Linked DNA regions of Callithrix jacchus. The protein of the gene in region 1 binds, or shares a complex with, the protein of each later gene. Links are inferred from orthologs where the notes say so. Each region holds a gene or a part of one and is shown in the gene's direction. Other genes may lie near its edges.

Region 1 (3,809 bases):
TTACAGGTGTCAGTCACCACGCCTGGCTCCAAGTAAGTTTTGTTTGGCTCACAAAGTCTTCTGTTTGCGTCAAAAAACAAAATTTTTATAAAAATCCTGATGTTTGGTTTTCTGGCAAAATCAGCATATCCAACAATATTGGACCCCAGGTCCTGTGTGTCAGCAGTTGGCTAGAGATCAGGAATGAGTGCCTTTTTTTTTGAGACAGAGTTTGTCTCTGTTGCCCAGGCTGGAGTGCAGTGGCGTGATCTCAGCTCACTGCAACCTCTGCCTCCTGGGTTTAAGCCATTCTCCTACCTCAGCCTCCTGAGTAGCTGGGATTACAGGCTCCCACCACCACTCCCGGCTAATTTGTGTGTGTGTGTTTTGTTTTGTTTTGTTTGAGATGGAGTCTTGCTCTGTCACCCAGGCTGGAGTGCAGTGGCCTGATCTCGGCTCACTGCAACCTCTGCCTTCCAGGTTCAAGCAGTTCTCCTGCCTCAGCTTCCCAGGTAGTTGGGATTGCAGGAATCCGCCACCACGCCTGTCTAATTTTTATATTTTTAGTAGAGATAGGGTTTCACCATCTTCGCCAGGCTGGTGTCAAACTCCTGACCTCGTGATCTGCCCTCCTTGGTCTCCCTAAGTGCTGAGATTACAGGCGTGAGCCCCCACACATGGCCCTAATTTTCACACTTTTAGTAGAGACAGGGCTTCAACCTGTTTGCCAGGCTGGTCCTGAACTCCTGACCTCAAGTGATCTGCCTGCCTTGTCCTCCCAAAGTGCTGGGATTACAGGGATGAGCCACTGCACCCAGCCCTATGAGTGCCTTTTTTTCTGTAGAAGGCACCATCTTCATTTGACTCTATCCATCAGTATTTTTCCTGGCCAGGCATCATGGCTCACACCTGTAATCCCAGCACTTTGGGAGGCCAAGTTGAGCGGATCTCTTGAGGCCAGAAGTTCAAGAGCAGCCTGGCCAACATGGTGAGACCCCTGTCTCTACAAAAAATAAAAAAATCAGCTGGGTGTGATACATTCCTGTAGTCCCAACTACTTGGGAGATTGAAGTGGGAGGATCTTTCTCATTCCAAAAGGTGGAGGTTGCAAATGAGCCAAGATCATGCCACCATGCTTCATCCAGCTTGGGTAACAGAGTAAGACCCTGTCTCAAGGAGAAAGAAAAAAAATCATTTTCCCTTTGCTCCTAGTTGGAGACTAATTAAACGAAGCCTGTAGTTAAGAGCATATGTTTAACTCTGGAAGCAGATCAACATCAGTTTGAATCCCCATTTGCCTCTTCTTAACTGTGTGATTAATGCAAGTCACTAAAACTCTCTGAGCCTGTTTTTCCACCTGTAAAATGAAGATAATACTATTTGCTTTATAGACCTGTATGATATAGACCTGTATAAGATGAAGTATAAGAAGCCCAGCATAGGCCAGGTGCGGTGGCTCACGCCTATAATCCCAGCACTTTGGGAGGCCGAGGCGGGTGGATCACGAGGTCAAGAGATCGAGACCATCCCAGTCAACAAGGTGAAACCCCGTCTCTACTAAAAATAAAAAAATTAGCTGGGCATGGTGGCACGCACCTGTAGTCCCAGCTACTCGGGAGGCTGAGGCAGGAAAATTGCTTGAACCAAGGAGACGGAGGTTGCGGTGAGCCGAGATCGCGACGTTGCACTCCGGCCTGGGTAACAAGAGTGAACCTCCGTCCCAAAAAAAAAAAAAGAAGCCCAGCATAGTATTTGGCATGTAGTAAGTGCTCAGTAAACATGTAAATAAAAATAAATAGGCCAGTTGTGGTGGCTCATGCCTGTAATCCCAGCACTATGGGAGACTGATAAAGAGTATTGCTTGAGCCCAGGAGTTCGAGACTTGGGCAACATAGGGAGATCCCATCTCTCTTTTTTTTTTTTTTGAGACAGAATCTCGCTCTGTCACCGAGGCTGGAGAGGTTGGAGTGCAGTGTGGCGCAATCTTGGCTCACTGCAACCTCTGCCTCTGGGGTTTAATCGATTCTCCTCCCTCAGCCTCCTGAGTAGCTAGGACTATAGACACACACTACCATGCCTGGCTAATTTTTGTAATTTTAGTAGAGACAGGGTTTTACCATGTTAGCCAGAATGGTCTCGATATCCTGACCCATGATCCACCCACCTTGGCCTCCCAAAGTGCTGGGATTACAGGCCTGAGCCACCATGCCCAGCTGACCCCATCTCTTAAAAAAGAAAAAAGGCTCAGTAGGTGTGTGGTGGCCTGTGCTGGTAATCCTGGCTACTCAGCAGGAGGCAGAGGTGGGAGGATCACTTGATCCCAGGAGGCCAAGGCTATAGTCTGGGTGACTGAGTGCTGCCTCAAAATAAATAAATAAATAAGTAAACTTTAATATCTTTTTACTGAGCTCAAAGCACAAAGTACCCAATTTCCTTCGTCAGGGCTTTCATCACATAGCCCAAACCTGTCACCTTGGGATGTAGTGTCTTCCTTTATCCCTGAAGAATATGAGACCTGTTCATCATTTGTCTTCATATTCCACAGGCAGGCCCAGTGCCAAAACACATTGCATTCATAATGGATGGGAACCGTCGCTATGCCAAGAAGTGCCAGGTGGAGCGGCAGGAAGGCCACTCACAGGGCTTCAACAAGCTAGCTGAGGTGGGTGTGTATGGCAGAGCCCAAAATGAACAGTCTGTGGAGAGATGGATTATAGCTAGAAAACCAGGCCCTGAGTTTGCTGTGGTTGAAGAGTGTTTTTTTATATCAGTCTCTGTGTTTTATTGTTTTCTTGCTAGCTGTACCTCTCATCTTGACGTTGGCCAGACATGGTTGTTCATGCCTGTAATCTAGGCACTTTGGGAAGCCAAGGCAGGAGGATTGCTTGAGCCCAGGGATTCAGGACAAGCCTGGGCAACATAGTCAGACCTCGTCTCTACAAAAAATTTAAAAACTAACCAGACTTGATGGTGCACACCTGTACCCCAAGCTATTCAGGAGGCTGAGGTGGGAGGACTACCTGAGCCCAGGGAGCTTGAGGCTACAGTGAACAGAGATTGTGCTACTGCACTCCAGCCTGGGTGACAGAGTGACACTGTCTCAAGAAAAAAAAATGACATTAACAAAGAAGTAATTATTCAGTGAATTACCGTAAAATACTAAAAATAAGAACAAAATTGCCTCTTACTATTTTAATAAATCAATAGTTTATATTCTATACCTCATCCAATCCTTATTTTATGTTCTACATGACTTAACATTGATAAAATTGCATCTATATCTTCAGTAACCTTGTTTTTACTTATCATTTTGGTTTGGTTTGTATTTTTTTTGTTTGGTTGGGTTTTTTGTTTGTTTGTTTGTTTGTTTGAGACGGAGTTTTGCTCTTGTTACCCAGGCTGGAGTGCAATGGCGTGATCTCGGCTCACCACAACCTCTGCCTCCTGGGTTCAGGCAATTCTCCTGCCTCAGCCTCCTGAGTAACTGGGATTACAGGCACATGCCATCGTGCCCAGCTAATTTTTTGTATTTTTAGTAGAGACAAGGTTTCACCATGTTGACCAGGATGGTCTCAATCTCTTGACCGCGTGATCCACCCGCCTCGGCCTCCCAAAGTGCTGGGATTACAGGCTTGAGCCACCGCGCCTGGCCTTGGTTGGTTTTTTTTTTTTTTTGAGACAGAGTCTTGCTCTGTCACCCAGGCAGGAGTATAGTGACATGATCTCTGCTCACTGCAACCTCTGCCTCCCGGGTTCAAGCGATTCTCTGCCTCAGTCTCCTGAGTAGCTGAGATTGCAGGCGCCCACCACCACATCCGGCTAATTTTCTT
Region 2 (4,586 bases), on another chromosome or scaffold:
TAGGGAGCTTCCTTAGCAAGCACCATGTAGCTGCATAATCTGCAGCAACAGGCAGTTAGGAAGAAGACTGTAGATTTTCCTGATCATGCCCTTTCGCCTTTCCTTCTTGTCCATCATCAGAGGAGTTGCTGCAGAGATCAGGAGAGACAGAAGTGTGTGAAGGGAGTGCCTGGTGCCCAGCCCTCAATTCTTCAGGCTGCTCTGTCAAAGGGAGATAGACATGAGATTCAACTTTTAAAGTAAAGTTAAATGAGTCTTAGAAAACAAAATGAGACTAGTTGAAAAAGGGACAATGTTAAAAAAATTAAGTCATATAGCCAAGATGTGAACAATGCTTTCCAGTGGAAAAAGGGGACTTTACAGAACAAGTATTAGGTAGGCATTACAAAAATGCAACTGTTTACACACACATGTATAAATATGTGTGTATACGTGTGTGGATGTGTATGTGTAAACAGCTGCATTTTTGTAATGCCTACCTAATCTTTACATGTATACTTATATAAATACAAATAATATAACTATTATTACATACACACATATATATGATGATAGAGGATGTGGCATGTAGGATGAGCCTTGAGAAATGGGTTGGAATGTGGGGAATCCCAAGTGGGAATCAGAAATTCAGGAGAAGAGCTTCAACAAAAGGGGCAAAGACAGTACAGACTTGCCACAGGGAAGTACAGAACCATTCTACAGGACCACTTGGAAGTCCAGATGGACAGGAACGTTAGGGTGTGTAAATGGGATGATAAAGTTTGGATGGGCAGTTTACATCAAATAGTGGCGGTGATTGAAGTCACAATGTCTATATTTCTCCCCTCTAAACCTAACAGGGGTTGGTTAATAAAGTCTTGCCGAATAAATGAAAAACAAAACAAAACAAAAAAACAGTGAAGTGACTGGAGCGGTAGAGCCTCTCTTTTATGTACTAAGCAATGGACAGCCAGGAAAGGATACCTTAGTGGGGAATGACGTGGGTAGAGGGTGTTTCAGGAACATGGCTGAAGAGCCTTGCTCACAGCTTTAGCTGGGAGGTTGAATAAAGGACTGTAGCAGGACCATTCCAGCCTTTGAGGACACTTTTGGGAGCCCTGGTGGATTCCCAGCATCAACACTTACTGAGGGCTGCTTTCCATCCCCAAGTTCTTTCCGGCATTTGTAATTTCCAGTCCACTTAGGACACTTTTACTCCTATGAAACTGTTTCTGTGGGGGCCGTGAGAGGGGACAGACAGTTTAAGACGCCCTGGACCCAAAGGATGCCGGGTCCCTAGAAGCGCCCATCCCTTGGATGAACACGTGTGCCTTGCTGGCGTCCCGCTCAGAAAGTCGTCTTCCCCTCATCGCCCTCCACACGACCAGGGGGCGCCCGCGGTCTCGGCCCGCCTAGTTCGCAGGCGTGGGTCCTCCCTCGCTGTGCCGGGCTGGGCCATATCCTCGGACCCAGAAGACGCGTCAGAGTTCCACGCTGGCCAATCAGAACTGTCCATGTACTACCGGGGGCGGGGCTGCCAAAGGAGGAGGAAGATGGCGGCGGGGGCGAGGTGAGGTGTTGGCAGTGGAAAGGGGTTCGGGCGTGGGGGGCGGGGGCCGCGGGGAGATGGCCCGCTCCGGCCGCAGGGGCGGATAAAAAGCCGTCACGCCGCGGGAGCGGGCGGGAGGGAGAGAGGGTGCCCGAGCGCCACAAGAGTATGACGGGGCTGTACGAGTTGGTGTGGCGGGTGCTGCACGCGCTGTTCTGCCTGCACCGCACGCTCACCTCCTGGCTCCGCGTTCGGTTCGGCACCTGGAACTGGATCTGGCGGCGCTGCTGCCGCGCCGTCTCTGCCGCGGTCCTAGCGCCACTCGGCTTCACGCTCCGCAAGTCCCAGGCGATCGGCAGGAACCGCCGTTACCATAGGCACCCACGCGGGGGGTCGTGCCTGGCCGCTGCCCATCACCGGCTGCGCTGGCGCGCGGACGGCCGTTCCCTGGAGAAGCTGCCTATGCACATGGGCCTGGTGTTCACCGAGGTGGAGCAGGAGCCCAGCTTCTCGGATATCGCAAGCCTCGTGGTGTGGTGTATGGCCGTGGGCATTTCCTACATTAGCGTCTACGACCACCAAGGTGAGGCCCGGTGCGGTGGTGGGGGGTGGTTGAGGCGTCTTGGACCGCTGGAACCGCTCGTCTGGCGGGTGGTGCCCAGGTGGCTCCGCACACGGTTCGGCGAGTTGCCGCGGCCCCTCTGCAAATCACAGCTCTAGCGCTTTCGAGGAAGGGAGATCAGCTTTACTGAACACCTACTAACTCGCTGGATTTGACTCAGTTGCTTTTTAACATTTTACAAATATCCCTTATTTGTTATTATACCGCAGTAATATAGATGGTATTTGTATACCTGTGTTTCCCAAGAGGGAGCCAAGGTTTAAAAACGTTAATTAATTTGCCAAAGGCCACAAAGATCGTAATGGGGATATTGGAATTTTAGCCAGTCTGTGCTTTTTCACAGTCTTTGCCTTTGGTTACAGCACAGTGTTTCTTTAAGAGAGGTTCCAGGCGCTGTTTTTAAGTCGCAGTCAGGCTCTAGAGGACTTAGGCAGGGGCTGTGTGATAGGTACTCCAAATGGGAGCGGTTGGGATTAGCAGGTATTTGAACTGGGTTTATGAAAAGTATGTGAGAGACTGGATAGGCAGAAAAGAAAAATGGTCCTTTTCTATCTTGGAAGCCTGGGATGGTTTGTGATCCTTGATCATCAGTGCCCAACACAGTACTTGATATAATTGTCCTTTCATACGTTTTGATTGAGAGAATGAATTTCACCATAGGGAGTTTTTGTAGGTACAGAAATTCAGTACTTATTGGGTAGCTACAAACCTAAAGCATTGTGCTACGCATACTCCTTGGAATCTTGCATTTAATTCCATGGACTCTCGGGCTTGTCAGGAGGTAGGCACATGGTTAATAACCATGTCAAAGTGTTGAGAGTAAAATTACTATTGTGCTAAGAGAAGAGAGAAATTGTGAATGGAGGCACTTGAGAAGTTCATGCAGTGGAGGTGGGATTTAAACAGGACCTTGAAGAATAGGTAGGATGTCAGTTTTGGGTTTCAATCAAATCTTGAAAGCACTGGAATTTCTTTAAAGATAAAGATGTGATAAGAATGATTTAGGAGTATTGGTATGAAGGAAAGATAAGGAAAGTTTTATTTTCTATTCAATAAATTACGTGTGTGGTCTAAAGATGCATAAATCTTTGCCGGATAGGTAAATTTAAGTCCAGGGTTTTGTCAGAAAGGGAAGATGTAGGTCAGACAGTAACTCTTACAGGGTGAGTTCGGATTGCCCTATAAACTTTCCTGCAGCCTGCACGGAAAATGATGACTCAGTAGCCTGTCATCACCAAATGATGATTTGCCCTATAGGGCAAAGTTTGCTATATTCTGGGACTGACATTTTATGGAACTTGCTAAAGAACTCAGCAGACCAGTAGAAATATGAGACTTTAGAACGTGACACAATCCATGCCTAAACCAATGCAGCCAGTATTGTCTGGCGAAAAAAATAAGTGAAGCAAAAGTGGACATCAAAGACATTAAGCAATGTGGTGGATTGATGTATAGCCAAGTGATTCTTGTAAAGCAAGTACCTTTATCTTCTAGTAGGGAAGGAAAATTTATAGCTAAATTGTTTGACTTGGGGACCATGCCTGCTAGTACAGACTATACTAGTTTCCTTGTTTCGGCAATTCCTGTGTTTAAATTGCTGATGTGATTCGGAAGTATCCTGTCATATTTGTTGAAAGAAAGATGATTGGTAATGAAAAGGAAGAAGTAAGCTAAACCAAGTTTTGACTGAAAACTGAAAGGCAGCTTAAGGAGCAGTTTCTGTGAAGGGGCTTACAGGATTTTTGTGTCTTAACTGTAAAAGCAGTTTTTTTGTTTGTTTAAAGGAATAGGGGATATCATTCCTGAATTAAGAGACCTGTAATTAGTTCATCCTTGGTTTTGATTCATTCATGCATTCATTTACAGGTGACGTTTAGGGTCTGTTAAGTACCAGATACTCTTCCAGACATGGGAATGCAGCAGTGTACTCACAGAACTTAGATTTCAGTGGGAGTCTGACACATAGTATAAGTAGGTAAATACATGGTAATATAAGTGCAGTAAGGAACAATAAAGCAGGGAAGGGAAGATAGCAATGTTGAAAGTCAGTCGTGTAGGAAGGGGCACAGTTTTAAATAGGGAGCCCAAGGAAAGGCTCAATAACTTTGAATATAGAGTTGAAAATATAGGCCATGTGGATGTCTAAGAATTACTCAAGGGTAGTATAGACAAGCTTTATTCAGTGTTTCTTTTTTTTTTTTAATTTTATTACTATTATTTTTTGAGATGGAGTTTTGCTCTGTTGCCCAGGGTGGAGTGCAGTGGTGCAATCTCAGCTCACTGCAACCTCCACTTCCCAGGTTCAAACGATTCTCCTGTCTCAGCCTATCTGAGTAGCTGGGACTACAGGTGTGTGCCGCCATGGGCTAGTTTTTGTATTTTTAGTACAGACAGGGTTTGACCATGTTGACCATGCTGGTCTCTTAACCGCTGACC

What was found.
Region 2: the proteins of DHDDS (region 1) and NUS1 are in contact, whole or in part, in a crystal structure (PDB 7PAX), measured with the Homo sapiens proteins. The link is inferred for Callithrix jacchus from reciprocal best matches to the Homo sapiens genes DHDDS and NUS1. Residues at the interface, in NP_995583.1 of Homo sapiens: Arg37, Arg38, Glu81, Asn82, Lys84, Arg85, Arg159, His160, Ile162, Ser163, Val166, Arg167, Met169, Ala170, Trp171, Val173, Glu174, Pro180, Ser181, Ile183, Ser184, Glu185, Leu188, His199, Glu209, Val210, Arg211, Leu212, Ser213, Asp214; in NP_612468.1 of Homo sapiens: His137, Gln138, Pro193, Glu194, Lys197, Ala198, Ile200, Val201, Ala204, Gln205, Phe207, Cys208, Gln209, Val211, Ala212, Arg217, Pro218, Thr219, Leu221, Asp222, Val223, Leu226, Asp237, Pro246, Val247, Asp248, Ser249, Thr250, Leu251, Gly252.

What each region holds. Positions count from the first base shown.
Region 1 is NC_133508.1:63,081,826-63,085,634, forward strand, and holds part of DHDDS (dehydrodolichyl diphosphate synthase complex subunit DHDDS), read left to right. Parts: intron 1-2,524; coding exon 2,525-2,641; intron 2,642-3,809. UniProt on the Homo sapiens protein: With NUS1, forms the dehydrodolichyl diphosphate synthase (DDS) complex, an essential component of the dolichol monophosphate (Dol-P) biosynthetic machinery.
Region 2 is NC_133505.1:123,966,327-123,970,912, forward strand, and holds the start of NUS1 (dehydrodolichyl diphosphate synthase complex subunit NUS1), read left to right. Parts: upstream 1-1,509; 5' UTR 1,510-1,696; coding exon 1,697-2,111; intron 2,112-4,586. UniProt on the Homo sapiens protein: With DHDDS, forms the dehydrodolichyl diphosphate synthase (DDS) complex, an essential component of the dolichol monophosphate (Dol-P) biosynthetic machinery.